7 linked regions of the Rattus norvegicus genome follow. The protein of the gene in region 6 interacts with the protein of the main gene of each other region in a pairwise test. Links are inferred from orthologs where the notes say so. Each region holds a gene or a part of one and is shown on either strand. Other genes may lie near its edges.

Evidence for each region.
Region 1: the proteins of Stam2 (region 6) and Arrdc3 interact in binary tests that used the Homo sapiens proteins (3 or more experiments, as listed by UniProt). The two-hybrid records come from large-scale screens. The link is inferred for Rattus norvegicus from reciprocal best matches to the Homo sapiens genes STAM2 and ARRDC3.
Region 2: the proteins of Stam2 (region 6) and Klhl42 interact in binary tests that used the Homo sapiens proteins (3 or more experiments, as listed by UniProt). The two-hybrid records come from large-scale screens. The link is inferred for Rattus norvegicus from reciprocal best matches to the Homo sapiens genes STAM2 and KLHL42.
Region 3: the proteins of Stam2 (region 6) and Plekhb2 interact in binary tests that used the Homo sapiens proteins (3 or more experiments, as listed by UniProt). The two-hybrid records come from large-scale screens. The link is inferred for Rattus norvegicus from reciprocal best matches to the Homo sapiens genes STAM2 and PLEKHB2.
Region 4: the proteins of Stam2 (region 6) and Dazap2 interact in binary tests that used the Homo sapiens proteins (3 or more experiments, as listed by UniProt). The two-hybrid records come from large-scale screens. The link is inferred for Rattus norvegicus from reciprocal best matches to the Homo sapiens genes STAM2 and DAZAP2.
Region 5: the proteins of Stam2 (region 6) and Entrep1 interact in a two-hybrid assay, tested with the Homo sapiens proteins (2 studies listed by BioGRID and IntAct). The two-hybrid records come from large-scale screens. The link is inferred for Rattus norvegicus from reciprocal best matches to the Homo sapiens genes STAM2 and ENTREP1.
Region 7: the proteins of Stam2 (region 6) and Abi2 interact in binary tests that used the Homo sapiens proteins (3 or more experiments, as listed by UniProt). The link is inferred for Rattus norvegicus from reciprocal best matches to the Homo sapiens genes STAM2 and ABI2.

The regions. Positions count from the first base shown.
Region 1 is NC_086020.1:12,871,809-12,876,143, forward strand, and holds the start of Arrdc3 (arrestin domain-containing protein 3), read left to right. Parts: upstream 1-1,393; 5' UTR 1,394-1,629; coding exon 1,630-1,909; exon of another isoform or gene 1,910-2,874; intron 2,875-3,085; exon of another isoform or gene 3,086-3,222; intron 3,223-4,110; exon of another isoform or gene 4,111-4,335. UniProt on the Homo sapiens protein: Adapter protein that plays a role in regulating cell-surface expression of adrenergic receptors and probably also other G protein-coupled receptors.
Region 2 is NC_086022.1:181,755,262-181,758,643, forward strand, and holds the end of Klhl42 (kelch-like protein 42), read left to right. Parts: intron 1-516; coding exon 517-968; 3' UTR 969-2,669; downstream 2,670-3,382. UniProt on the Homo sapiens protein: Substrate-specific adapter of a BCR (BTB-CUL3-RBX1) E3 ubiquitin-protein ligase complex required for mitotic progression and cytokinesis. The BCR(KLHL42) E3 ubiquitin ligase complex mediates the ubiquitination and subsequent degradation of KATNA1.
Region 3 is NC_086027.1:44,543,977-44,548,357, forward strand, and holds the start of Plekhb2 (pleckstrin homology domain-containing family B member 2), read left to right. Parts: upstream 1-1,496; 5' UTR 1,497-1,592; intron 1,593-2,600; exon of another isoform or gene 2,601-2,759; intron 2,760-4,381. UniProt on the Homo sapiens protein: Involved in retrograde transport of recycling endosomes.
Region 4 is NC_086025.1:133,592,022-133,596,474, forward strand, and holds the start of Dazap2 (DAZ-associated protein 2), read left to right. Parts: upstream 1-1,515; 5' UTR 1,516-1,625; intron 1,626-1,680; exon of another isoform or gene 1,681-1,749; 5' UTR 1,750-1,914; coding exon 1,915-1,927; intron 1,928-3,075; coding exon 3,076-3,194; intron 3,195-3,879; coding exon 3,880-4,125; intron 4,126-4,453. UniProt on the Homo sapiens protein: In unstressed cells, promotes SIAH1-mediated polyubiquitination and degradation of the serine/threonine-protein kinase HIPK2, probably by acting as a loading factor that potentiates complex formation between HIPK2 and ubiquitin ligase SIAH1.
Region 5 is NC_086019.1:231,031,073-231,034,854, forward strand, and holds part of Entrep1 (endosomal transmembrane epsin interactor 1), read right to left. Parts: intron 1,176-3,782; coding exon 1,047-1,175; intron 1-1,046. UniProt on the Homo sapiens protein: Functions as an activator of the E3 ubiquitin protein ligase ITCH in the ubiquitination of the CXCL12-activated CXCR4 receptor. Thereby, triggers CXCR4 endocytosis and desensitization, negatively regulating the CXCL12/CXCR4 signaling pathway.
Region 6 is NC_086021.1:57,640,978-57,645,423, reverse strand, and holds the start of Stam2 (signal transducing adapter molecule 2), read left to right. Parts: upstream 1-1,508; 5' UTR 1,509-1,614; coding exon 1,615-1,654; intron 1,655-4,446.
Region 7 is NC_086027.1:69,319,675-69,324,247, forward strand, and holds the start of Abi2 (abl interactor 2), read left to right. Parts: upstream 1-1,530; 5' UTR 1,531-1,706; coding exon 1,707-1,823; intron 1,824-4,573. UniProt on the Homo sapiens protein: Regulator of actin cytoskeleton dynamics underlying cell motility and adhesion. Functions as a component of the WAVE complex, which activates actin nucleating machinery Arp2/3 to drive lamellipodia formation.

The sequences.
Region 1 (4,335 bases), on a different chromosome or scaffold from region 6:
AACCGAGAGAAGAAAGTTACCCCCCCCCCCCCCCCGCCTTAAAATACACAAATGTGTAATTTTATGCTTAACAAGCCAAACTCTTCAGACAAACGGCTTGCCCAGTAATTATTCTTGACATAGTTATATTCTAGATTTTTTTAGCTCACATGTCAAGTCAAATAAAATGTAATTAAATAAAAATGTAGATTTTTTTAAAATAAAGAAAACAGCAAAATAGTTCGTTTGTTGTGATTCGCCCTATCCGGATTTACCATGCAAAAAGGATCTGATGTTTAACTATAGACAACCTCGTCCGATTTTGGCTATGCATAAAACAGGATTTCATAATATAGCCATGTTATGAGGTTATGTTGACTGTTAATGATCTTAGTCTATGCCATTACCCTCTAAATCCTGGTGATGTTTAGAACTGCATTTTTTTACTCAAGGCATTGAAAAAAGGAGAAATGTGCCTGTATTTAAAGATGTAGCACGGCAATTAGCATGTTGAAGTAAAAGTAAGGCTTAAAAATTAAGCCTCATTTATGTAACAAATCATACTTAAAAACCAAAAACCACCGTATATGCTTTTCTAGCTAAGACTTTTCAGTCTGTTGTAAACAGTGTCAGCTAAATGACTATGTTCAAACTGTCTCTTATGAGGTGGTAATTAGGGGTGTGAGCTCTATTCTTATTCCTGAGGATACAGAAGTTGTAATCGCGTCATTCTCTGCAATGGAGCAGTAGGTGGTGTCTTGAAAAAGGACTTTTTCTCCCGTCGAGGAAGTGGTCGGGCCTACACACTACACAGACAACTTGGTCGAGTTTGAAGCTGTAGGAGTCTGGGAAGGCAGCTGAAGACAAGAGCTGCCTGGAGCATTGTTCTTTGGCTCCTAAGGCCTTGGCTTAGTCCATTGCCACCCTGTCTACAAAGTCCTGCTTGCTTTTGTTGTTTCTATCCAAGTCAACAATGCTTTCTAGTATGAACAATATTTGTCTGCTTTTTATTACATTTTCTTTTGAAATTCATTAGCTTAGACTGGGGCCACCAGCGGCTTGCCCAACCGGTTTCTCCCCTTCCCCCACGGCTCGCACGTCCTGCGGGTCCGCGGTACGGGCGCACACCCTGGCCTGGCGCCGCCGGGCCCCTCTACCTAGCTCGCGGAGCGCGTGCGGGGCCGGCGCTGCAGCCGCGCGGAGTGCCCGCCGGCCAATCGCTGCGGCCCATGCACCGAAGTCAGGGACGCCGGCTCCACACCTACTGTACCGGGAGCGCGCGACGAGAGGGAGGCGCGCGCCTCGCGGGAGGGAACGCGCAGGGAGGCTGGCTGCAGTCGCGGCCTGCGCCTGCGCACTGGGGTTGTTTTTCACAAAGCTGCTCTTAAAGTGAGCTGGCAGCCTCCAGCCGCCCGTCTTTGTAAGGAGACCACTGAGACGAGCAGGAGCGTGGAGCAGCGGCTTCTCTGCTGCCCTGACTTTTTAAGAAATCTCAATGAACTATTTGTAGACAATCACTGATCCTGCCTGCAAGATTTTTTTTTCTTTTGCACGGCAAAGACACCGATCAGTGTTAAGTGAAGATCACATCTTATATGCGATCTTGACTTTTTTTGGTCTTATTATATTTTTATAGATTTTGTTATAATCATGGTGCTGGGAAAGGTAAAGAGTTTGACAATAAGCTTTGACTGTCTTAATGACAGTAATGTCCCCGTGTATTCTAGCGGGGACACTGTCTCAGGAAGGGTAAATTTAGAAGTTACTGGGGAAATCAGAGTAAAATCTCTTAAAATTCATGCAAGAGGACATGCGAAAGTACGCTGGACTGAATCAAGAAACGCCGGCTCCAATACTGCCTATACACAGAATTACACTGAAGAAGTAGAATATTTCAACCATAAAGACATCTTAATTGGGCACGAAAGAGGTAAGTTTTTATATTAGTCACTACATTCTACTTCTGTGCATGAGAACTTTAATCTCCTTTAATGCAGTTCTAGTCGGCAGTTTGATGAAGGTAGCAAACTTAGAAGATGTAGTTTCTCCTTGACGTCCAAGCGTGTTAAGCTGTAATCCATGCAGGCGTCTGCAAAGTGAGTGCAAACTGCACTTAACTTCATCTGTAACCGGCTTCATATCTGCCATACGCACCTTATAACGTGTTCAAATGTGACTCCGTCGTTTTACTGATATTTTCAAATTCATTTGCAAAGACTGCAGTCCAATGTTGGATTTCTCCTTTTATTTTACAATCTTAGATACAGGAAGGAGCACCAATAAAGAACTGTAGTGACATTTTAAGAAGGTTGCTAGATGTATCTGCTTTTGATATTAACGTGCAAACGACTTTAAAGACTTGATTATTGTTCTTTGATAAAGGGTTTCCCTGGCTTATTTTGACATATGGCATCAACACCCCCACGTGTTTTCCCATTTCTCCCAATTCCTTTTAAAATGTACATCAAGCACCATTTATTTTAAAGGATAATATCTATCATTATGCAAACTATTAAGTCAGTTTAGAAGCCATTCCGGGTCAGTACTTTTCTTCTCGGAGCATCATGTCTAACTTTGGAACGTGGATTCAATGAAACCCATGGCAGACAGATGGAATTGAAAAGTATATGGCACATCGGATTTGGTTTTTGGGTACAAGATGAAGATTAAGGCATTGTCAAAGGGACAAGAGGTCCTAAGATTTGCGATCTGTTGTTTAAGTGGCTACAATGTGGAAATATAGGCGACTCCAAGCTTGTTTTTCTAAGTTTCCACCCTTTGTTAGAAGCGGTTCAATCCTGTTTCGGACCAGTTCTGGGGGATGGTGAGGAGGGGCGCTTGTTCTGCTCTCAGCAGATTGGTTACACGCGTCAGGTGGTGGCGATGACTTAATTCCTAGTCCAAGAAGAATATAATGTTAAAACTGGTTATGTAATTTGTGTTTCTTCTTTCTAATGCAGTATTTTAGTGCAAATACTGGCGATTTTTCAGATAGAGGCATGCTTTTTTTTTTAAGTATCTAAAATATACATCCTAGGGAGACGTTAATTGAACTTAACGCAAGTGAGAAATGGAGGATGCTTTAAGTTACACAGAATTAATGTACCGTCTTTTAAATATAAAGGTGAAGCCAAGTCTTGGGGTTTACGCAGCTACACCGAGGTGTTCTACATGCTGAAATGGTTCCCTAGTTCACCTTCCGCAGCGTCCACACGAATGGGCCATACAGTACCTAATGACAGCGCTCGTATTTGTTTTTTAAAAAGGGCAGATCCATGAATTTGCTTTTGAACCTGCTTTGACGTCGCACCCTTTAAAAACATAAGAAGAGACAAAGGCTTTTTCCTCGAAGAGTTAAGACTTGTAGTAGGGGGGAAAGAACGAGTTCTGTGGACACACACTTGATCCGTTGCACCACGATCTCACAGTTAAGATAACTACCTGCGCCCTGCGAGGTGCCCCAGCAAGCCTGGCTACGCGTGGACGGGCTCTTAAGGCTGGAATAGTTTCAATGACTTCAAACTGGCAGCTCGCTCAAACTAGCCTGGTAGCTGAGCGCCCGCCCCGGGCGCCCAGCGATAGGCGGAGCTGCGTTTGTTAGCCTGTTGCTAAGGCGATGCCAGGCGTTGATTGGACTGGGCACGGGGGGGGGGGGGCGAGGGGGAAGTCGAGCCGGCTCGCGCCGGCTGGGGCGAGGCTTGGAACCGGCGTGCGCCGGTAAAGGTCTCTCCCGGCCAGCCGCCTCCGCCCCTCGGCGCGCCCCTCTCCGGGTGTCCCAGGCCCCTCGCCCACTGCAGCCGCCGCAGGTTTCATTGCCCTGGGCTCAAGCTCGGTTAAAAATCCCACCAAAGGCTGATCGAGGTGCGGGCGCCAGGGTACCCCCGGGGCTGGTACCTGTGTGACCCGAGGGGACATGACACAGGACAGATAGGGGAGACATCACCGGCACCAACTGGGCCTCGCCCATTGTTCCCCGGGGCCTCCGCCTCCGCGCCGCCGCCCCAGTTCCCCCTCGCTGTAACAGCGAAGGTGTCAGGGTGGCCTGAGCCAGATTGAACCGGTCACCGGCTGGGGCGTGGAAAGCGGAAGCTCGGCTTGCTGTGGCTCCGCCTCCGGCCCAGCATTCTAGGCTGCTCGGGCGCGAGCGCCGCGCGACGTATGCCGTATGTATAGCGGGGCGCGCGGAGCGCGGCCGCGCGCGGGCGGGCCGGCTGGGATCTGCTCAGCGCCGGTTTAGGCCGGTCCTCTCCTGCTCTAGTCTAGTTCTTGATTGACAGCCAGGCACTTGTTTACCACGGCGCGGCGGCCGCAGCACTCCTCAATGAGACTGCTGAGCTGGCACAAAAGGGAGCCGAG
Region 2 (3,382 bases), on a different chromosome or scaffold from region 6:
TACCACCATTTTGCTAAGTAATAAGTTTTACAATGGGGGGTTTTCCATTTTGTGTAAAGCAGCATAGGTCACTGGGGTTCAAACCTCTGACAGCTAGAGCTTCTCATTAAAGCACAGAATCTGCTACAGTGTTGAGAGCTTGCCCCGAGGTAGGCTGCAAATCAGGGCTTGCTGAGGTTAACGCTTCTCTCAGAAGACATGGGGTCTTACTCTGAGGTACAGCATCTAAGCATAGCCATCTGTCTAAAGCAGCATCTACAAGTCGTGTTCAAATCAAAGCTGCCCGTTTCCAGGCTGCCCTCAACTCAAGATCCCCGTTTAGGATTTCCTAGTGCTGGGATTACAGGTGTGAGCCACCATGTCTGGCTTTGTGGGTCTGAGGTTCCCCCAAGAAGGGGGTGCCTGGGAGGAAGGTAGTGGGGGAGCATTCAGCTGACCTCTGCCCCATCTGCTTAGAAAACCCTTTCTCTATCCCCTGCCTTTCCAAGTGAGCTTCAGCCTCTTTGTGTGTTTCAGATCGCAACATGAACATCCTGCAGTACTGCCCCTCCGCTGACCTCTGGACGCTGTTTGAGACCTGCGACGTCCATATCCGCAAGCAGCAGATGGTGTCCGTGGAGGAGACCATCTACATCGTGGGCGGGTGTCTCCACGAACTGGGGTCCAACCGCAGGAGCAGTCAGAGCGAGGACATGCTCACCGTGCAGTCCTACAACACGGAAACTCGGCAGTGGCTCTACCTGAAGGAGAACACGTCCAAATCAGGCCTGAACTTGACGTGCGCACTACACAATGACGGCATCTACATTATGAGCAGGGACGTCACCCTGTCCACCAGCTTGGAGCACCGAGTGTTTCTCAAGTACAACATCTTTGCGGACAGCTGGGAAGCCTTCAGGCGGTTCCCAGCCTTCGGACACAACTTGTTGATTTCCTCTCTCTATCTGCCCAATAAAGCAGAGACCTGACTGATTCAACAGTACTTAAAAGAAAAATCTGGTTCAAGGGGGGAAAAAAACGAAAGGCAAGCCTTTGAAATATGGACTCCTGAAGAGACAAAGTGGGCTAACGTAGGTCAAGTGGGGAGGACGGCTCTGCTGTAAATAAGCTTCCTTGAGCTAGTTACTTGAAAACGTGGGGTAAAGAGACCAACCGTATTCTTTCCAGATTGTTTTTTTGTACCATGGGAACAAATGTCACGAAAAGTATTCAACCAAACCGAAGCAGTCTTGGGCCAACAACTAAAACCCACCCTTAAAAGTAGACTGCCGGGGTCTGCTTTGAACGGGTCGAGGTCAGTAGCTAAGATCACAGTAGCAATGGCTTTCTTCTGTGTTTTTCCCGTTGGGAATGGAACCCAGGGCCTCACGCGAGTCCCGAAAGGATGACTTTAAAGACACTTGCTTCAGGTCACCTGCGATCTCGTCAGTATGGACTTTTCCTTTTGGTGATCAGCGTTTGACAAGCTTTAGGATCCGCCCACCTCTAGTCTCCTGTTCCCTGTCACCCAGGCTCTCTGGGCAGACATTTTATCCTATATTTGCTTTCAGAAACCCCGACGGGCGTGTCCAACCTTTTGACATTTAGAAATTATCATTCTTTAACTTTGTGCACACTTGAGTTACCTTAAAAAAAAACAAGCCTCTTAATGCTCTAAGTAAGTTCCTGACGCTGTGTTGGCTGCTACATAGCTTTCCTTGGGGCCCACAAGCTGCAGTTGCCTTGCCTGCTACAGAGATAGAGCCAGACAGAATCCACACAGGCAGCCCGTCCATCCAAAAACATGGAGAGACACCTCCTCAGCCTTTCCAGTCTTTGTGCAATTGAGAATGCTGTGTAAGGCAGACTTACCTCTTATCTCGTGTGTGGCAGATGAGGGCTCTGTTCTTAGGAGAGTGCTATAAACATTTTATAAGCTGAGTCTTAAGGGAGAGGGAGTACTGCGTAAGGAAAGATGCCTTTGTGAGTTACTTTTATTGAATATATGTGACTTAGTTCTTGTTTCAAGACAAAAAAAAAAAAAACCCACCCCAACTTTTGCACATTTCCACCAAGTTTCCTCCTAGCTTGGTCTTAGCCTTAGATACATAGCTGTGTTTTGCCTTTTTAAGGGAATGGTGACTTTAGCTGATGTGGTGCTAGAAAGCAGGGGAGATGTTCTTTACAGACGTGGGATGGCCTCTGCTGGCATTTCTGAATTGAAGTGAGGTGCTGGCCTCACAGCTCTCCTGCCAACTGCGGTGAGTAGCCTAAGGACCTGTCAATCATGGGCCTGTGTTTCTTAAAAGACTCAAGGGCCCACTTAGCGTGCACAAGAGGCCCCTGGGTTTAATCTCCAGCACTTACAGCAACAGCAACAAGGTCCTCACCTACAGGGATTTTGATTGAAGAGCTGCTATCTTGTAGTGGAGTCAGCTAAAGGAACCACACCAGCTGCAGGCAGCCGCCTTGCATATTTAAGTATGCTCCATAGAAAAATAATTAGAATTACAGGCAGATTTTCTCCCAGTTCCTTGCACAGCTGCTCACCTGGTGGCTGGGTGTGGGGGAGGGAAGCTGACCCCGAGTAGGTCTTCAGTGTCGATGAGGGAGTCACTTCAGGGTTTCTTTATAGCCATGCCTCTAATACAGCCTTAGAGCCTAGTTATAAAACTCTTACTTGCACAACTGTTTAGCAGCTCAGTCTTTATTTGAGGGATGGTGACGGTTCTTAGTGTCTTGTCAGGATCCAATCAACCTGCTTACAATGCTGTTGGAAGCTTATAGGCCATTTCCAGCCACATCTGTTTTCAAACACTAAGTCTGTTTCTCTCTCTCTCTCTCTCTCTCTCTCTCTCTCTCTCTCTCTCTCTCTCATTTTTTCCTCTTAAGACAGGGTATTGCCTTACAATCCAGGACAACTCCAAACTGGAGAATCTCTCACCTCAGCCTCCTAAGTGCTGGGACTGCACGTCTCTTGCTATTGTGCCTGCCTTTATGTATTAGTTTTCAAACTGTTTTTCTGGGTTCTTTAAAAAATACAAAACAAAACAAAAAAACAAAAACTCTGAACTGAAATCTTCACCAATATGGTACAATGGATTTAATTTATATTCACTGTGGAATTGAATTTTGGGGAGTCTGTAATTTCATTACTGCACTTTAAAATCTAACTTACGTTTGTTCCTATGCATCCTCATTGCACGCAGCCCAGTCCTGAGTTTTCAGAGGAGACTGGAAGTTGAGTTAGCAGTGGACAAAGAAGGGCAATTGTCTTGTGAAAAGCCACATCTTAAAAGCACATTATGGTGTCTACCTGTTGACTAGTTCTCTTCCTGATAGCCATCTTTGGACATATTTCCTAACGCCAGCAACTAGATTCTTGGACCAGATGAAGTTGTAA
Region 3 (4,381 bases), on a different chromosome or scaffold from region 6:
CACAGTCTGTCATCCAGGGAAGGCGAGGCAGGAACTCAAACAGGGCAGAAACTGAAGCAGAGATGTGGAGGGACCCTGTTTACTGGTCTGCTTTCTTAAACAAGCTATGACCTCCTGCCAAAGGATTTCATCGCCCATAGTGAGATAGACCCTGCCCAAGGTCAATCACGAATAGACAAGATTCCCCACAGATTTATCTGATGGAGATACTTTTCCCTCATCAGGTTCCCTCTTCCCAGATGATTCTAGTTTGTGTCCAGTTGACAAAAAAAAAAAAATCAGTACAACAGCTATAATTCCATTGATGTAGGCGAGCATAGGGCTACCTGATGACCTGCAGACACCTCCCTTCAGTCTCCTTCCCGTGGGGCAACACCCATCTCTCCTGTAGGTAATTTGATGTTAGGCATTTTCTGGTAGAAGGGCAGATGTGGCAGACACACCAGTCCATCTTAAACCACCACTGGGTATACGTGTATGTTTTCCCTTGAAGTGAAATATTAGCGGAAATCTGCTTACTGTTTCAGGTACAAACATGAGAGGGGCACATGCATAAAGCTATAGGATGCACAACCCACCAATCCAAGATGATCCAAAGCTACTTAACATCCTGTAGATCAGGGTAGAGGGTCTACCTAATTTCTCCCTAGGGGATCTGCTCCTCCCTCTATTTGAACTCATAAAACGATCGCTACAAAAGGTCACGGGGGTCTTGAGTCTTACGCTTGCTCAGGCAATTCCCATTCTGGGGAGTGTATTCCATGCTTTTTCTTTCCAAATAAATGTACACTTGGACGACTTCTATTCTGTGCCTTGTCCAATTCATTGTTTGAGACACTAAGAACTTAGAAAAAAAAATGAGACACACAAGGCACTATAATTAAAAGTTTTTTTTTTTTTTTTAAATTTGAAACAGGAGCTTGTGAAATTCTAGAGTGGTCTTGAGCTCACTGTGTAGCTAAAGATGCCCTACTTCATATCTTCTTACCACATCTCTCAAGTGCTGAGATTACGGTTGTGTACCACCTCGCTATCTGTTTTGTGTTTTTGAGACCATGGCTATGTAGCCCAGGCTGGCCTCAAACTTATCCTCCTGATTCAGCCTCCTCAGTTCTGGGATTATAGTCCTGTACTAACAGCCCGGGCTCCTTCCTCCTCTATTTGTTCTAAGCTATAACATTTCTACGTGAGCTATTGCTAATAGTTCCAGTTTTGTTCCTTGCTTGCCGATTCAGTTTTGACATCTCCATCTTCCTGTTTTTAAGCATGAAGTTCTTCATTTCTGGTTCAGAGATGTCCCCAGGCTCATCTTGTATTGTCCTAGTCCGGCTGTCGTGCACCTCTCTAGGAAGGCCTGTCTTTAAACGCCAAGATCAAGATACTTAAACCACCTTTGAACAGATAACAGCCCAGGTTAAGTTCAACTCCTTGGCTCGGGCTCTGGGCCCGGGCGGCACCTGCCTCGCGCGCATGCGCCTGGGCGCGAGGTGGTGACGCAGGACCTGGACTCGCGCGTCCAGCGGAGAAGCAGGAGAAGCCGGCGACCTTGCACTCTCAGCCTGATCCCTGTCTGGCGGCCAGAACATTCGCAGGTGACTGTGCCCGCGGTGTCCCCCTGCGCCCGCGTGCGACCCCTTCCCAGGACCTCCTCGGTCCGAGTACCCTGTTCGGCCCTGCTCACGCCCCTCCGAGGGTAACCCGCTTCGCCAACGCCCCCTCTCCAAGCCTGGCTCTGAGGAACGCCAGCCTTACTGGCCGCGCCTATTTCCTCAGCCCCTTGTCACCTCTTACTCCGTGACTCCCCCGCCCCCCAGCCCCTATTCCTTCCCGCTTACCTAATGTTCCTCCCCAGCTCTTGCCTTCCTTTTCTAGAGTGCCTCCATTCTGACCCACACCCCTCCCTCGTCCCTAATGTCTGCTGTTCTGATCGTACCGTCCCTCCTCTCCAGCTTCTGCCTCTCTCCCAGTATCCATCCTCATTGTATTACCCCAGCCACTCTCTCTGCCTCCTCCCCACTCCCCCGGTGTCCTAATTCTTAATTGTATCCTACCCCGACCCCCAGCTCATGGCTCTTCTTCCCCAGTGTCCTATCCTGACTGTGTTCTCTTCCTCTTCCCGTGTCCTCCCCCTTCCCAATGTCCCCCATCCTGATTGTATCCCTCCCCTGCCCCCAGCTACTGCGTTCCCCTGTGTCCCCATCCTGATTGTATTCCCCTCCAGCTCCTGATTCCTCCCCTGTCGCTTGTGTCCCACATTCTGGTTGTATTTCCCCCTGCTAGTCTCTGTCTCTTCCCCACTTCCTGATCTATCCGCCTAGCTCTTCATAGTCTTCCTTAGGGTCTAGCCCAGCGTCCCTCCCCTTTTCCCTGGGACCTTGCAGGTATTCCCCAGTGTTCCCCACCATAATCTTATCTTCTTCTGACCCAGTAACCAGTCCTTGTACCCCTACCCTTTCCTCAAGGTCCTTTCTGGGTTCCCTAAGACCCACTTCTTGATGTATCCTCCCCAGCACTGCGCATCCCTTTCCCAGTGTCCCCTGTCCTAATGGTATCTTCCGTAGAGCCGCCTAGTCCTGACTCTCCCTCCTCTTCTCCACCTCCCTCGGGTGAGGTGGTGGGGGCTCTTCTGATGATAGGACCAGTCTGATAGCTCCTGTGACTTCACAGGGGACTGCTACTGCCTTGCTAAGACCCCCGGCTTCCTTCTTCCTGGGCTTGCCCTGCTCTGGTGGGCCTTTCTGTTCCTCTGCACTTTCATGGTCTGTATTATAATGCCTTTTGTTTCGGGTGTTTGATTGTACAAACCCTGACTCCCTTTTGTTACATTTTTATTGTTATGCAATAACAATAGTTAGATGGAGGTCAGGGGTTTCCATGCTGGGTAAGCATAATTTGTTGTGTCCAACTCTCAGGGGCAGAGTGACTTGGGCAGAGAGTTCATGAAGGAGTGGAGTAATTGCCAGTGTTTTAGAAAGTCACGGGTTCTAGACAGACTACGTGGCTCATTCAGAGCACACTGACTAATTCCCCCCCGCCCCCACCCCCATGTGTGTTCATCTGACTAGAATAGGTTGAAGAATCCATGCAGGAAGTGACTTGTCCCTCTTTACAGGAAGTGGCAGGGTGGCAGCTGGGATTTATTGCCTACTTTCTTAGGGCAATGAATGTCACTGAAGGAGTATTGACCAAACATGGCTGTGTGTCCACCAGCCTGTGCTGTGGGCTTGCCTTCAGGAGTGAGCCATGTAGCTAGGATTAACCGTTGCCTCTGGCTCCTTCCTTAGGATGCTTAGACTGTTTTGTGGGCCCAGAAGTTTTGACTTTGGGTGGTCAGCAGGATATAATTAGGACAGATGGCTTGAGACTCTAGCCCGGCAGGTTCTTGCCTGAGTTTATCTGGTGTCCATGGTGTTTATTCTCTGTGCGAGTGATTTTCCACCGATCTTCCTCAGGGCATGAACCAAAACTGGGTTATGGTGTTTTCCTGTCAGACACACAGTAGGTGTTCGGTAAATTAAGAGTGTGAGCACATTATTTTTGTAAGTAAATTTCTGGATAATAAAGACTGAATCTATGAAATCAGTTTCTCTCATTATGTCTGTCTTGTCTGCCTGTCCCAATCCCTTTCTATCTCCTATCTCTCTAGCTGGAACCTGACCCTTTAAGTTGTAGTTTATGCAGAGAGCCAGTGATCTGAGAGGGAGGCGCATTCGCACCTTTGAACACCCTTTTGTAAGTCAGCTGCAGCCAGAGGTGTCACAAGGAAGGGGAAACAGAGGCAGCCTACCATGCCAGCCGCTTAGTCCCTGAGGTCTACGGTGTCTGTCACCTCTCCTTACCATCCACATGGTTGCATTGGTTGCATTGCAGGCTCTCTGTTTAACTTGGTTTGGACACTCTTAAGGATGCTGAGTCCTGCGTGCCTCCCTGTGCCGCCTGGACCAGGGGTTAACTCAGAACCGCAAACCTTGAATAGGGTGTGTGTGCAGATTCCTTTCTGTGACACAGACAACCAGTGTGGCCCTGTGCCCTCTAAATATGGAGTAGATAGGGTGCTGGTATCTGCCTTTCCTGACCTTTTTCATTCCCTGTGGTCAGTAATGAGTCCTATCTATCCGTTGGTCCTGTACTGTAGGGTGGTGGCGTCCTGCTGCTGTGGTGTGTAGTTAGTGCTCAGTGTGGCTTCATACGTGTAAGGAGAAAGATGTTTGCAGCAGTAAGCAGTTATGCTGTTGAGATGGGTGAAAACAAAAAGAAACCAGCAAAGTTTCCCTGAGGCCTGCAGGGCTCACGGAGCCGGGAGGCAAGAGGACTGGATCAGAGCTGAAGAAACACTTTTGAGTGTTTTGTTTGTGTACGAGAGACAGTTTTATGAACAGTC
Region 4 (4,453 bases), on a different chromosome or scaffold from region 6:
ATCTGCATTTTTTTTTATTTATCTGTTGTTATTATTTTTATTTCATCATGTCTATGGGTGCTTTGCTTTAGATAGTCAAGGAGATGCAAATACCACAGGCTTTATGATACTGATTTAATCCGAATCAAACTAATAATATAAACACATAAAGGGAATTTTTAAAATAACCTAAAAGAGTTCCCAAGCAGCCTTTATTTAGTGCAGCCTATACATGCTCTATGTGTCTACAGGAAAGCAAAATGGAAATCCTGATCCCGGAACCTGGAAGGCAGAACACAAAACTTGAGTCTGTAACCTGCCCTCGAGATCAGTTTTTCTTTTCTTCTCAAATGTTTATTTTTGTGTCTGCGTGAACCTACGACACGCATGCGCAGGTGGTCCCCAGGATGAACCAGATCAGCCTCTGGAAGAGCATAAGTGTTCTTGACCACTGAGCCTCCCCACCAGCCCCATCAGTGTTCTGTTGGAGAAGCAGGGATGCTCAGATAAGCCCGCTTGCCTCTCGGGCTGCTGTGTGGGACTGGATGAAACTGCATTTACAGGACGCCTTGCAAACTGTGATAGTCACCTGACACACAAGCAAGGCCTTCTTGGTGTTGGACGAATCCAGAATCCGTTCACCGAGGGCCTCTCGCTCCAGAGCCTCTCCGTCTCCTTGAGCGCGCACAACACAACTTCTGCAGACAGCTGCGTCGGTTCCTCACTCTGTGCGTGCCCATGAGGAAACGGGAAAAGTGTAATCACGGTCCTAAGAGACGTCGCCTCTACCCTTCAGGACAACTGGGAGTGGGCTAAGGCACACACAACGTCTGTAGGAGACTACAGGCCCCCTTAGGACGTGCCAGGCCAGGGTCAGCCTGCGCGGGGCACGGTCCATCTCAGGGCAGGAGCTTGATGCGGTGTCATGGTTTGTATCAGGGCGCCAAGCAGGGCGCGGGGACACGGTCTACCTCCGCACGGATCCGGGCGCGGGGGCAAGGTCACCGACCCCGGGCGCTGGACCGTCAATAGGAGGCCTGGAAGAACCGGAACGCGGGACAGGCTAGGATCTGAGGTCCAGAGGTGGCTCAGAGCAAGGGCGCCGCCCTAAGACAAGCCCTCTACGAACTTCAGGGCCCGGTGTGAGGGGTGGGCGGGGCACTGGTGAAGGCGGGGCATGCGGGGAGGAAGGGCTCGCGGTGAGGAGGAGGTGCGCGGTGAGGGCGGGGCCACGCAGGGAGGGCAAGGAGGGCGGGGCTACACGATGAGGGCGGGGAGCGCGGTCAGGGCGGGGCCACGCAGGTATGAGGGGCACGGGGTGAGGTGGGGCCGCGCAGGGAGAGCGGGGACCCCGGGGAGCGTGGGGAGGGCGGAGTCACGCAGGAATGAGGAGCTTGGGGTGAGGGCGGGACCACTCAGGGAGGGCGGAGTCACGCAGGGAGGGCGGGGCATGCGGTGAGGGAGGGGAGCGCGGTTTGGGCGGGGCCGCGCGGGAGAGCGGTGTGGGCGAGGAGGGCGGGGCCACGCAGAGGATAGCGGGCACCGGGTGAGGCGAGGCCGCGCAGGAAGAGCGGGGAACCCGGGGAGCGCGAGGAGGGCGGAGCCACGCAGGAAGGGCAGGGCATGAGTTGAGCCTAAAGCGCGAGGTGAGGGGGAAACCGCGCAGGGAGGGCGGGGCCGCGCGGGAAGGAGCTGCGCGAGGTGAGAGCAGAGCGCGCAGGGAGGGCGGGGCACCCGAGAAAGGCGGGGCTGTAAGCGCCCTCCTTGCAGCGACTGGCGGGCCTGCGAGGGGGCGGGGTTTCCGGCGGCAGTGCACTCGGGCATCGACTGACGCAGAGTGGACGGGCGTCACGTGACACGGAAGTGACTCCGAACAGGAAGAGGACGAGAAAAATAACCGTCCGCGACGCCGAGTGGAAGTGGATTAGAGCCACCATGAACAGCAAAGGCAAGGCCGGGAAGCGGCGGAGGTCGTCGGGGACGCGGGCGGGTTCGGGTCGAGTGGGCCCGGGGGCGGCGGGCTCGGGGCGGTCAGGGCCGCTCTCCTCAGCAGGCCGCGGAGCGGGGCCGCACCTGACGTGTCCGCCCCCCCTCCCCCACACACCGCAGCAACTCGGCTCTCCGGGCCCCGGCCCCATAAACTCTGTGGCGCAGTTTGGAGCCGCGGGCTCCAGTGTGTGAGGTGGGGGTGTTTTTCCGTGACTGACACCGGCTGGAGCGAATGGGGAGCTAGAGCAGGGATTTGGGTAGGCCAATGGAGGACCGGCAGAGGCGGGGCGCCGCGCTTCGGAACAACAGGCCTTGGCCGAGCTTAACTCGTGAGGTGCCGGCTCTGCTGCCCAGTCCCGGCCTTCAAGGATCCTTTCCCGCCTGCCTTCGACTTTTCGCGCTCCCTCCTCAGGGCCAGGATTTATAGTCGTGCCTGTGCTAATGTTTGTCAGACCATGGTCGCGTTTACCTCCCGCCCCCAGCCGCCGCCCTTCTCATGGTTAACTTCCATTCACTCACTCTTTGGAAGTCGACCTTGAGTAGGAACCAACCCGTGAGGTAACACGCAGAACCGTGGGTTCCACAGAGTCTGCACTGGTTACCGCACAGTCCGTGGGAGACTACCCGGACTAGAAGTCCCCCCAAAACACCAGCAATCCAGAATCCCCGGCACGGGTTCTCAGACCTGTCCTTTATTTGGGAGGGAACGGGGCCAAGTTACACTTGATTCCTCCATCAGTATGCTAGTGGGAACAGCGCCTTCTGCCCAGTCAGAACCCAGCACCTTCCACTGTGAGGGTGCAGAGACAATCTTTTATTTTCTTGGCTCTAAGAGCTAAGGCCCTGTGGGGCAATCTGTTTGCAATTCTTCTGCTTGAGCTCACCAAGTTAACTGCCCGTTTTACAAATTTTTTTTATTGTCTGTGAATGTGAGGGTAGGTGCCCACAAAGACAGAAGCTAGAGTTGAAAAGAGGTTGTGTCAGATGTGGATGCTGGGAACAGAACTTGGGTCCTCAGGAAGAGTGGCATTTTGTCAGGAGCATCTTTCCTATTTGCCACCTCCCTAATTTGATAGACAACATCTCTCTTCCCCTTTTGTATTCCAGGTCAATATCCAACACAGCCTACCTACCCTGTGCAGCCTCCTGGGAATCCAGTATATCCTCAGACCTTACATCTTCCTCAGGCTCCACCCTATACTGATGCTCCACCTGCATACTCAGAGGTACTGCACTTTGCTAGACTTTTAACTATTTGAATACACTCTTGGACCCCTCCCCCATTGTTAAATCTTCAAATTCAGAAGCAGAGAATGCTCTATGAACCGTCTAAAACATAAGTTAATAATTACCATTGGAATTGAACGCATTATCTGCTTGTTATTTGACATGCTGAGTTAGGCTGAGTTTGGGTCCCTTGAGCCCAGTAGTAGCTGTGGATGCAAATGACCCAGAAACTGTGTGCCAGTGACAGTAACCAGTGTGATCCACACACACAAGAACTGAGAATGGACTCATGAGCCATGCGTGGTGGTAAGACCAGTAGTCTCAGCACACGGAAGGCTCAGGCAGGAGGAGCTTGAGGTCAAGACTGTCTTGGGCTATAGAACCAAACCCCATTTCCAAAACAAAACAAGGGGCTGGGGATGTAGTTGATTTGGTAGAGTGCTTGCTTAGCATGCACCAAGCCCTGGATTTGGTCTCCAGCCCAATGTGAGCTGGATTTGGTGGTGCAGGCTTTTATTTCCATCAGTCAAGAGGTCAAGGCAGGAGAGTCAGGAGTTGAAGGTCATCCACTCCTACATTCTTGCAGGCTAGCCTGAAGTACAGGAGATGGTCTCAGCAATACTTAGAGGAATTTCAAATACCAGTGTCACAGAAATATTTTGCCTTCTCTTCTGCTTCTTTTAGCTCTATCGTCCAAGCTTTGTTCATCCAGGGGCTGCCACAGTCCCCACCATGTCAGCTGCATTTCCTGGCGCCTCGTTGTATCTGCCTATGGCCCAGTCTGTGGCTGTTGGGCCTTTAGGCTCCACGATCCCCATGGCTTATTACCCAGTTGGTCCCATCTATCCACCTGGCTCGGCAGTGCTGGTGGAAGGAGGGTACGATGCAGGTGCCAGATTTGGAGCTGGTGCCACCACTGGCAGCATTCCTGTGAGTATGCCTAACCAAGAGCTCAGCCCTCGTGCACTTGAACCGTCTGAAATGACTTCATACTCATTCTCCTACCATCCCAGGGTAGTAGTAGTCAGGACTGGCACAGCTGCTGCCCTCTCATGACAGAAATGTGGCTGGGCCAATCAGGGCATTGGGCACAGTCCTTAGAGTTAATCAGATTCATTTGTCTTCTTTTTTCTTTTTTTTCAGAGCTGGGGACCGAACCCAGGGCCTTGCGCTTGCTAGGCAAGCGCTCTACCACTGAGTTAAATCCCCAACCCCTCATTTGTTTTCTTGTCCTATTAAAATCCTGCTAGCGGGCTAG
Region 5 (3,782 bases), on a different chromosome or scaffold from region 6:
TTACAACATCTGAACACTATCTATAGAGTTCCCTCCAGAAGACCAGTGAGACTCTTCTCTAGTCAGTGCCCCCTCAAGGGACAGCACTTCCCCGCACGATGGCATCTGCTTAACATATGGCCACTGCTTCTGTTTCGGGAGCCACAGGCAGTAGTGTGGAACCAGGAGCAACCAGGGAATAAATAGGTCTTCTTTCCTCAAAATAGCAGTTAAGTCAACACTGAAGGTTGCCATGGACACGGCCCTGGCTCCTTCAGGGGCTTTCCTCAAGCTAAGTCAGGCTTAGAAAGTTCCAGATGACTCAACATTCAAACATGCAGAAACCGGAGCAAGCAGGTCATTTTTAAGTCCTATACTACCCAGACCTTGAAGCTCTGCAGAGTTCTCTATCCGAGCTTCCTCCTCCTCCCTGAAAAGCAAAGCTCTAACCAGCAGCTAAGGGGTTACCAGCTCTACCCACTCCAGTCAGACTCCAGTGGTTCGGCTCCATCGTAAAGGCTGATTCTGCATTTCCCTTTGACTTGAATCCTCGGTGTACTCTCCTAAATTTCTTTTACTTATTGTTAACTATTTAACAGGTTATAAAGAACTCAGGCGTACCCCGTCATTTTCTGGCTGATCTTGGTCAATGTGCCCAGAATGGTGACATTCAACAAGCTCATATAACTCGCTACAAATGAACAACAATGCCGACTGAGTGTGCAAACACAGCTTTCCTGAAAGCTACGCCTCAGATGCGTGTGCACACACACATATGTATAGCTAGCCACCTTTGCATTTTCACCAGTGTGTAATTGTTTTAATGCAACGGAATCTCTCTGCACATAACTTAAAACACAGTCCGTGACCTCTTCTACACTCCATTCTAACCGCAGGTTAGTGAAGGACTGCTTGGTCACTGCAGGTCAGTAGTGAAGGGCTGCCCACACTTGCTTTTAGCAGCCTGGCCATTTTCAGGCAGCCACCAAATGGGAATATCTCAAGGAGCAGCCTTCTTCGGCCCCTGTGGAAGATTTCTTGTGGAGCCTGCGAACTGTCCATCATACCTTAAGCAGGAGGTGTACAGCGCTACAAGGCTGGACCGGGAAGAGTTTCAAGGCATTTTCTTTGTCTGTGCATTTGGCTGGTTGAAATTCTTCACAACAGAAGCAGATCTTGCCTTCACCTAAGTCCACCTCAAGGAAAGATGCAGGACAATGATTGTATTATTTAAGGGGAAAAAACCACTCTTGCTACACACACAGCATGCATCATACGGAATGTGATGGGTATAGTTCCATGTCAGGCAATCTCAGGCAAGATTTGTATAATTTTAAAGTGTGTGTGTGTGTGTGTGTGTGTGTGTGTGTGTGTGTGTGTGTGTTTGTATATTATATGCATGTGTATGTGTATATGTATGTCTATGTAATGCCATCAAATGCCAAAAGAGGGCACTGGATCCCTTGGAGCTGAACTTACGGGAAGTTTTAAGCTATCCAATGTGTGTGCTGGGAAATGAACGCAAGTGTTCCAGAAGCGGAGGACATGACCTTAAACTGCTGAGCCATCTCTCCAGCCTCAAAGTTCATTTCTTACAAATGCTACAAGGCCACTGCAGGCCAACATGAGGCTGTTTGTCATATGCCTTTGGGGACTTAAAGTTGTGAAACATCCACCATCTTGGTGCTGTGGAATGACCGACACATCCGAGAGATTGAAAACTCAGAGTACCTGACACTTAAGGCAGGACTGTCAGATAGGTGACAGGATACCCAATGGACATGTGAATTCTCCACAGTAAAAGAAGGTCTCAGCCATTGCACAAGGCGTGCCGATGGCAACAGAAGAGGTCACGACCAGTTCATCTGGAGTTCAAACTCCAGTTGTTCTTAGTTCTCTTCCATTGCTTTAAGTCATCTCAAAAATACCTGTAAACTTTCTCAAATGCACAACTTTCACCCTTCAGCCTCGAAGTCACTACCCGATACTACCAGATCCTCGCTCTCCCTTGTTATGCCCAACACCGTGGCGCCCAACACTGTGGTTCCCAACCTTAGCTGTACATTGGCATGTTCTGGAGAGCTTTGAAAAAACATGCTGAACCTATATTTAGCACGACCTTGAAGCTATGAATGAGAGTGGCTCCCATAGCATATGTTTGAATACCTGGCCCCCTGCTGGTAGACTTTTTTATAAGGATTAGGGGGTGTGGCCTAGTTGAAGAAGGCATGTCACTCACTGGTCAGGCTTTAGGTTTCAAAAGCCTATGGCATTCCCCTGTTTGTCTACTACTTGTGAATCAAGACACGAGTTCTCAGCTGTTCCTAACACTATGCCTTTCCTCCGCCATCATGGACTCTAACCCTCTGAAACCACAAACCCAATTAAACGCTGTCTATTATAAGTTGCCTTGGTCATGGTATTTTACCACAGCAATAGAAACCCTAACAGATACAAGGCCCTTTCATACTAAGGAACCTCATAACTGAAGGGACTGCATCAGCTTCCTTTCCTGACTGGTTGCCACCATGCCCTCTTCTATTATTTTAAATATCTATTTTCTACGTCACCTGAAGACACTCGTGTCACATCAAATGGGCTTCTAGTGCTCATCACTATCATTTGAACAAAAAGTTTTAACGCTTGATTTAAGATTTGTGAAGAACAGTGAGAAACCACAGCAGGTTTTGTGAGTTCCTGGGGAGTTTTCTGATTGGAAAGGTTATGGGTTTCTCCACAAGAGTTGACTACAGTTTTTCTAGTAATAAGTCAGCCTTCTTGGCTCACATCCTCTTAGTTTCTATAAGTAGACTGCAATGGACAAGTTCTAAATAAATAAGATTTATTATGACTTGTTAAGAGTCTACACATGCTGCTTTGTACCGAGGTATTTATTGCTAGAAGTCTTTTTTTTTAAAGGTTTAGATACCCAGAAATACACAAAGGAACTGACAGCAGGGCTTGTAAGGGCCATGTGTGCACTCCTGGTCACAGCAGCCTTATACACAACAGACAGGGTTGCAACAACCCATGGTCCCACCCACAGATGGGTGGACAAAGTGTCTCGCAGACACAGACAATGGAGTATCAGTCAGCCTTTAAAAGGAAGAGAATCCAGGGGCTGGAGAGACGACTCTGGAATTAAGAGCGCTGGCTGCTCTTCCAGAGGGCTCGCATGGCAACTGTAGTAACTCCTATTCCAGGGGATACGGCACCCTCATACAGACATACACTCAGTCAGAACACCGAGGTTGGTAAAATAAAAATAAATTATTTAAAAAGAGAAAGGGAATTCTGACAGACTATACTATGGCTATCCCTCCAGGACAGTAACCCAGAAAGACTAACACTGTGTGACTCTATTTGTATGGACTAGTCTGGAGTACCTGAATTGATGAAATAGACAGTGGAGTGCTAGTAGCTGGAGGAGAGGGTGATGGAGCGACATGAAGAGCCCTGGAGACTCTCTGCACAGCAGTTTAATGTACAGTGCTGAATGTATACTACTGAACCATACATAGAAAATGGTCAAAATGGACTTTGCCACAATTTATAAAACTATTTATTTGGGGTGGGTCTTCTGTTTTGTTTCTTTTTTTGTTTGTTTTTGTTTGAGGCTAGTGATCTCTCTCTCTCCCTCCCTCCCTCCCTCCCCCTCCTCCCTTCCTCCCTCCCTCCCTCCCTCCACATAACCCTGGAATTCACTATGTAGAACAGGCTGGCCTTGAATTCACAGAGATCATCTGCCTGCCTCTGCCTTCTGAGCGCTGGGATTAAAGGCCTATGCCACCATGCTGGTTCTA
Region 6 (4,446 bases):
GTCTCACTACACAGATCTGTCTGGACTGTAGTCTATATTGTGGATAACTATATAGATTCACCTGTCTGTACCATCATTCCTAGCTATAAAAATCTTTTAAATTAAAAACAGAAATTATGTGTTTGCGATGTGTGTGAGTTGGAGGGTTCGTGCTCAGGATACTGCCAAAGTGTGGGGGCAGGGGATACCTTTCCCGAGTTCGTTCCATCCCCCCTGGCTTCTGGAAATTGAACATTACTCTTCAGGCTTGGGATAGGACGCCGTTTTACAGTCAAGCCGTTTCATTGGCTCAAGGTGTCAGCTTCAGATGTGGGCTTTTCAATTCAAAAGTCAGGGCTACATTCTAAAAGCATTTATCGATCGACTTCTTGCCGGATACTGTGTTTTAGATTCTGGGTCCGCATAGTGAACAGAACTCATGGAATTTATAATCTAATGAATAAAGATACTACAATTATCTGTACCTTGGAGAGTGATAAATGATAGAAACAGATACGAGCAGGATGGAGAAGTACAGGGCAGTGTATTGCAGGAAGGGTGTTTGTACACTTATTTAAATGCTGGAGCCAGTGGGAACCTGAGTTTATGACTCTTATAACTAAGTCATTATAAATGTTTTTGCACTGCAAAGCTTGAGTGTACTTCACTCAAGTGCTGGGATTAATGGCGTGGGCCACAATACCAGGTATTAGATGTTTAATTTTATACTTATGCATGTGGGTATGGGACCATAAGTGTAGATGCTTACAGAAGACAGAAGAGAGGTGTCAAGTTCCCTGGATCTAGGCATTCAGGCTGCTCTAAACCCTGCCTCCCCAGTATACGAGAATCTAAGCAGCAAGCGCCCTTAATTGCTGAGCCACCTCTCTAACCCCTTCATTCGTCTTTATATTCCACAGTCCAAACTGTGTTTTCATGCAGGAGAAATGAGAAGCAAGGAGTCTCTCCGTAACCGCTTTCCAGGGTGACTATTTAGGCTTGTTTAACCGAAGGATCCTATGAGCATCTTCAACCCAAGCGGCAATTCTCAGCACCTCTCATAGGGCAGCGGCTCTGTTTCCATAGCAACCAAGACGCGGAGCGGGTTCGGGGTCGGAGTAGCAAGACCAGACCTGGCACCCAGGAAGTACTCGGATAAGAGAGGAGCGGCTGGCATAGCCTGGGGCGGAGGAAACGACATTCCAGAGCCGCGCACCTGGCCTCACTTCTCTGGATCTGCAGGCTCTCCGGCCTCCAGCATCTCCAGCTGCCACAACTTCCGGCCTCGAAGCCCCTCCCCCCGGCTCCGTGGCTCTCCCGGGTCCTCACTGCGGAAAGGTGACTGTGGCGGCTGCCGTGCCTGATCAGTTGTCGGACCAGGGGCTGTCGCGTCCTTGGAACAGCAGTGAGGCCATTACAGGGTGCTAGCACTCAGCGGAGCGTTCTGCGGTCCCGCCGACGGGGCTGGGGCAGAGGCGCCCAGGCGCGGAGCACGCAGGCGCGCGCGGGGCAGGCACGGCGGCGGAAGTGAAGGCACGGCTCGGCCAAGCGGTCTAGGAAGCCGCGGCCGGTCGCCCAGCGGGGGCAGTCGGAACCCCGCCAGACCGTCGGGATTCAGCTCCCGTTGCCGGCGCAATGCCTCTGTTCACTGCCAACCCATTCGAGCAAGATGTGGGTGAGTGCGGTGCCCGGCGCGCTGGGTGCTGGGGAAAGTGGGCGGCGGCCCGGGTGCCTAGGAACCTCGGCAGAGAGCGAAGGGGCGGCGCCGTTCTCGACGGCGGGGGGCAGCCTCGGTGTGTCTCTGGCTGGGCCAACTCCTGCCTGCTGGAGATTGGGGTACGGGGCAGGGTTGTTCCCGGCACACAGAGCAGGAGTGGGGAAAATCCAGGTTCATTGGAGGCTTAAGTTGTTGATACAAACTTCCTGCTTTCTCCCGAGCTAGTTAACACCCTTCCCTTTGGAAGAAAGTGCAGTAGTGTGACACCTTGTTTGCTGCCCAGGGCAGTCTCGAACTAGAAGCCTAGACTTACTAGGATTAACTTGCACCGCTTCCGTAAGCACACATCTAAGTCCTGGTGGTTGCAGTTTCAGTGTTTATTGACTGTTGTGAAGGTGCTGCGAGAGCCAGGCTCAGAGAATGAAAAGGAAAACTCCCCGAATCTTTAAATAGCCCAGAACAACCGCTGTTAGTTGGAGTCAAACTTTACTCTGGTAGCGCATGTCTTTCAGAATGAGAAAAAAGATGGATAGGGTACGACTAAATCAATAATATCAACAGTAAAAGCACTGGCTAGCACCATTTTTTGTGGTAGTAGTTAACAGGCTTCTAGTGAGGTTTTTGAGATTTAGAAATTTCCAGTCAAACAAAAGTTTAGCAGTGAGCAACCAGTTTGTTCAGTTAAAATTTCTGCTCAGTTACGAAAAGACTAGAAAGTGCTTCATCTTGTTAGAAGTCTCAAAATCAGGGGTTGGGGATTTAGCTCAGTGGTAGAGCACTTGCCTAGCAAGCGCAAGGCCCTTGGTTCGGTCCCCAGCTCTGAAAAAAGAAAAAAAAAAAAAAAAAAAGAAGTCTTAAAATCATGTTCAGATCAAGTGAGTGTCTAATCTAATTATATAGGAAGCATGTTGAGGCTTAGTCACTGTTTAAGGAATAATTAATTGTTCTTTTGTAAGGATACCTACGTGAGACATTGGACTTTTTGAGTGTTACTGGACTAATTGAGTTTTGAGACAGAGTGGAGTCTCTATACAGTCTCGGCTGGCTTCAAATTCCTAAAACCTCCGTCTTCGTACAGAGAATTGTGGGATGGCGGGTCTCGGTGGGCCTCCGCCCTGATTGAGACCTGTGCTTCTTACTGTTAGTGTAAACACTTTCGTTTTGCTCTAATGAAATGAATGTGAAGAAGCCAAGTAGAAGAAGTTATGTTATTTTTCTTTATTAGTTTGTTATTTACATCCGTGGGTGTTTTGCCCACATGTTATATTTATCACTTGTACGCGGTGCCTAAGGAAGCCAGAGGCCAGTGGCAGATTACCTGTGACTGGAGTTACCCACAGTTGTGAGACAGTTGTGAGCCGCTGGGTGGGAGCTAGGAGGAGCTGGGAGGAGCAGGGAGGAGCAGGGAGTGCTCTTAACCAAGCCATCTCTCTAGCCCAAGACAGGTTATTTAAAATATAAAACCTGTGAACTTTCTTTATTTTTTAGAGATAGGGGTTTCTCTGTGTAGTCCTGGCTGTCCTCGATCTCTCAGTAGATCAGGCTGGCCTTGAATTCAGAGATCCAACTGCTTTTGCCTCCCAAGTGTTGGGATTAAAGGTGGGTGCCACCATGCCCAGCTTAAAAGCTGTAAACTCTATCCTCAAGGGAAAGTTTCCTAGAAGCCTGCTGTTTTCTTTTTTTTTTTTTTAATGTTTTTTTTTTATTTATTTATTCATTTATTATATATAAGTACACTGTAGCTGTCTTCAGATACACCAGAAGAGGGCATCAGATCTCTTTACAGATGGTTGTGAGCCACCATGTGGTTGCTGGGATTTGAACTCATGACCTCTGGAAGAGCAGTCGGGTGCTCTTAACCGCTGAGCCATCTCTCCAGCCCTTTTTTTTTTTTTTTTTAAACATTTATTTATTATGTATACATCATACAGCTTTCTGCCTGCATGTATGCACCTGCAGGCCAGAAGAGGGCACCAGACCTGATTATAGATGGTTGTGAGCCACCATGTGGTTGCTGGGAATTGAACTCAGGACCTCTGGAAGAGCAGACAGTGCTCTTAACCACTGAGCCATCTCTCCAGCCCAGCCTGCTGTTTTCTAATTGGAAACCTTCTGCTGTAAATATTAGGAGCTGCTCTGCCCCGTTTACTTTTCTTCACATCCTCCTCGGTAGTTTCTGAAATCTTTGCCTCACAGCTTAGTGTAGTTTCCTTAGGCTCTGGACTTCAGACAGAAGCAAACAAACAACAAACAGAAAACCTGGGTAGATTATTCCATGGGCTGTGAAATTTGTTTGAGCCCTCTTAGCTGAATGCAACCAGAAAAGAAAATGGGACGACATTCTGAGGAGCTCAGATTGCTCTAAAACCAGTATCAGGAAATTACGTGTTTTTCGGACCTTAAGGACTCTTAATGTGAAAGAGTTAAGTAATGCAAAGCAAGCCATTAGCTGATTGAGCATTTTACGGCAGTATCTTTATTACTGTAGTCTGTGTGTGTATTACCTGTGTTCACTCTTCATTCAGCCAAAATGCATGGGATGGTTACTGTGGATCAGGTGTTGTATTATGTTCTGCAGAGACAAAAATGAGTACGTATGCTGAGTTTTTGCTCACAAGACACTCGAGTCTAAGGAAGGACACATGTTCCAGTAGATAGTCGTACTGTAATGTGTACTGTAATATGATTAATGTAGTTTGATAGATATGGGGAATACTTATCCCCTCCACTCCTTGACTACAAGTTATTGT
Region 7 (4,573 bases), on a different chromosome or scaffold from region 6:
CCTCTTCTGGTGTGTCTGAGGATACCAACAGTGTACTTATATACATTACATAAATAAATCTTTAAAAAATTCTTTAAAAGTTTTTTTTTTATTTATGTGTGTGTTTCTATGTGAGAATATGCCACATGAGTCCACCAGTGGATGCCAGAGCAGGGTGTTGGATCTCCTGGAGCTAGGGTTAAGGGCTATTGTGAACAGTATGACAGGGATGTTAGGAACCAAACTCTGGTCCTCTGGAAGAGCAGTTCATGCTCTTAACTACTGAGCCATTTCTCCAGCCCAACACAGGTTTTTGATCTACTGAAGTTTGTCTAAGAGTCTGATCTGAAGTTTGGAGTTTGTTTTCTTCAGCTGTTTGTACTTTCATTTCCTGAACTAAGTGTATGTGCCCTATACATAACTATCTCCCTATATACTCTTTAGGTTTCTCTTCTTTCCCCTCCAGCTCTCCCTTTTGTTTTTCACAAGCTTCTCACACTTAGAACATTCACGCTAAGACAGGTGTCTAAAGTGGTCAACAATAGATCCAGCTGGACCATATCATCATTTAAAAATACTGTTTTAGGCTCTGCTACAAAAGCTCACACACACTGGTAATGTATTTATCATAAAGCTAATGTAACAACACAGGGTTTACTCCACAATTGTGGGGCAATCATATTTATGAAAAAAGATTAGATATACAGATTACAAGATCAGAATGAACTACCTTGAATTTTTGTAGTACTTAATCTGAAAAACGCACATTTGTCAATGTGTGTTTTTTAATTTTATTCATGCGACAACCATGTGAATAAAGAAATTAGTACCAGCAAAGCTACCATCGAAATTTTGAAAAAAGTCAAGTGAGAAGGAGGCCCAGGCTGGGCAACTACAACTTGTAGCTGTAATTCTAGCCAGCTCAGTCTACACTGGAGATCATGCCAAGAAGTGGGGACAGGGGGAGGAAGGGAATGAATGAATGAATGAATTGGTTTGGGATTAGGTAACAGTAATTTGTAAAGAAGACGATGAGGTCCAAGGTGGCATTTAGAGCTGCTTGGAAGTTCAGTGGCTCTGCCTGTTCTGATGAGGTGTTATATTTCACAGAGCTTGTGAAGGGGCTGTGTCCTCTCCCTAGGCCTCCACAGGGGCCTGGAAAGCTTCCTTAGGCAGATGACCTCCACAGGGTTCCCGCCCCGGGTGCAGCGCAGAGGTGAAGATGGGGGGCGGCGGCGGGAAGCAGCAGTGGGCAGCGGGAAGCAGCAGGGAGCGGCGGCCCATTCCCGCCCGGCTAACAAAGGCTACTGAGGACTCCCAGAGCCTGGAAGGCCGCGCGGGGCCGAAGGGTTAACCGGGAGCCCCGCTCCCGCGCGCATCCCGGCCCCCGCCCTCCCGTCGCTAGGAGACGCCGGAAGTGGGGGAGGGGCGGCGCGGGTGGGAATCTTTTTCGGGCGCTCGGGGGCGGAGGGAGGGGAGCGCGCGTGCGCGCGCCCGTCCGTTCGCCCGTCGCCGCGGTGACCGTCCTCGCGGCCTGTCGGCTCGCGCCCCGCCTCCGTTCCCGCCGCCCCCTCCCCTGTCGCGCGCCGTGGGGGGTGCAGCTCGCTCCTCCCGATTCCCGCCGCGTTCGCCGCTGCTCCTCCTCTCCCGGGCGTCGCGGCCGCTGCCTCTGCGGGCTGTATGAGGAGGAGTAGGAGGAGGAGGAGGAGGAAGAGGAGGATGTGAAGATGGCGGAGCTGCAGATGCTGCTGGAAGAGGAAATCCCGGGGGGCCGCCGGGCTCTCTTCGACAGCTACACGAATCTGGAGCGGGTGGCCGACTACTGCGAGAACAACTACATCCAGGTGCGACGCGGCCCCTCGCGCGGCGCGGCGCGATAGGACGTGGGGTGTGAGGGGCGCGCGGGGTGACGGCGGGCTGAGGAGGCCGCGCGGTACTAGGTCCCGGGAGCGGCGCCGGGGTGGAGACGGGGCGAGGGCGGCGGCGGCTGGAGGAAACGGGGTCCGCAGAAGGCCCCAGCAGCCCCGTGCGAGTCCCCAGTGCGGTGCGGTGCCGTGCGGTGCGGTGCGTGGCGTCCCGCCCCCTCGCCTCTGCCCCGTCGCCCCCGCTGTCCTCTCCTGTCAGTGTTCCGGATGGCGGGGGAGGTGGAGAGTGGCATTTTCTGTATAACGGAATCTTGCTGGATGGCAGGCTTGTGTGGATCACACAAATTCCGAGGGATCTTTTTTGAAGGGGTCCTATTCCTGCAAACTGAAATGCCTCACTTCTCCATTCCTGCGAATGTACCCTGAAGACAAAACAAAAATTCTTAACCCTTAAGTTTAAACTTAGGTTGTAAAGGGGACATGGTGGAAAGGCTGTCTCTTATTGCAAGTTAATACCATTTTTTTTTTCTTCCCTGTGGGAAACTGATAATGAGCTGCTTTTCCTTCCCAGTTCCCGTTAGAATAGGTGATTTTCCTTTGGGAAAAAGAACTATGACTATTTCCATAAAGAATCAGGGAAACGAACCACATGGTTTAGGTTTTTTTCCCCATGATGGTTGGTTTGGCACAGGGACTCCTCTGTGTGTGTGTGTGTGTGTGTGTGTGTGTGTGTGTGTGTGTGTGTGTGTAGGAAGGTGAGGAGGGGGGCGGGGCATTGGTGAGATGAGAACCAGCTGGTCATGGGATAAATGTAAAAATTTTGTGGATTAAAACAACACTTTAAAAATTAACTCATGGTTTGCAAATCTAGTATCTCGTTTTCTGTAGGGCTTATACTGAATTACAGGTTGTGCCTACATTTTTTTTCCCCACTCCCATTTAAATTCTTTGGATAAAGTGGAATGTAAGCATGGTGTTAAACGATTACCCATATTTTAATGTTCTTGTTCCTACCTCCGTCTCTGCAGGTCTTCTTAACAACAGTTGTATTGGAAAACATTCTCAAATCTTACTATGAATAAAAAAAAAAAAGAACCAGATGCTGGAATTTATAGGTTCTTAAGATTTTTGAGGACCATGTTGTTAAAGAAAATGTGCTTAGATTTTATTTGGTTATAAATGTACTGAGTTCTATTATGTTGTAAGCATTTGGAGGTTTTTTTTGCATTTTTATTAGATATTTTATGTATTTATATTTCAAATGTGGCCCCCTTTCCAGTGTTGTAAACATTTGTATTGAGAGTGAATCAGACATAATTGAATCTTCTCCCCTTAAAGAAGTGGTGGAAAGTGTGTGTTCAGTAGAAAGGGTGTGTGTCTTTGGTCAAAGATAGACCACAGTCCCTCACAAATGTCTGTCAGATCATTTACTAATACAGAGCTATGTAGGAAGTATTCAAAAGTTTTATCGCTTGATTTCCAGTCTTCTTTGGCCCAGAACTGTCGGTGGTGGTACACCCCTAAACTCTTAAGGGGTTTATGATATAGTTCAAGAGACAGATCTGTGAGTGAATCCATAGTAATACGATGATGTGCTATCAGCCCTTCTTGTTGGAGAAAGAAATAGTCTTTCTTTTTCTTGTCATTCCCAAAGTGTAACAACTACTTAACATGGCATTTACATTTTATTAGATAGTGTAAGTAATGTATAGATTTGAACTATGGGGAGGATGTGTAATAGATTGAATGTAAATATTATGCCATTATATGTAAAGGACTTCACCATCCAAAGATGGGGTTGGAGTGGGGATTGGGGTGGAGCAGAAGTGTGTCCTAGAACTAATCCCTATTGTATACTGAGGAACAAGAATAGTTAATTTATACTTGGTAGGGAATTGTGCGCAGAAAGGTGATGCTTATTATTTTCAGGGAGTCACAGCTGCTAGGAGAGGCAAAACCTAAACGACCCAAAGGGCTTATTCTGATGCCTTGCATAGCATATTATGAGAAAGTCTTGTCTGTCAGAAGAGAAATTGGGGAATGGAAAAGTGATTAGATTGCAATTGTGGCCAACTAATAAGAAAAAGGTTTTTGAAAGATGAATGTTACCATAATTTGAGATTATAATGCCACATAAAGGGAAAGTACATGAATGGATAAAGTGGAGAGGTGGAAGAGATCACTTTTGTCTTAGCATTTATAATTCTAGCCTAAAGAGTAACAAAGCTCGTGTGTTATTTATACGTTTTCAATTTTGGTGTTGGGGGCTGTTTTGTGCATGCTGAGAATACAGGCTACCACTGAATTATGTTCCTAACCCACTGTAAAATTACAAATACTTATTTTTTAGAAATGGATTTTGAATTTTAAGCCATCTGTTATTTTAAATTCAGTATGTGAGGTAGAGTTTACATATTATTATTTCTTAGGTCGTCCTCCGTTGTGGGAGTCACTGGATTTATTACTGCAGTACTTTCTCAGGATGATATTTCTTACATGATTTGTTTGTAGTACATTGATAAATAAAACTGGTGATAGTTGATTTGTGCAGTGCCAGCTGTACATTTGGCTGGTTCTTGTGATGGAAGGACTGACCAGCAAGGGTCCTGATGCTGTCTGTGACCCTGTAATACATGAAAGTTAATTGGCAGGATCACTGAGCAAATGGTCAATTAATCTTTTTATGGTGTTGTTGTGTCTTAGTTTCTAGAAGTAGTCAACTAAACCAA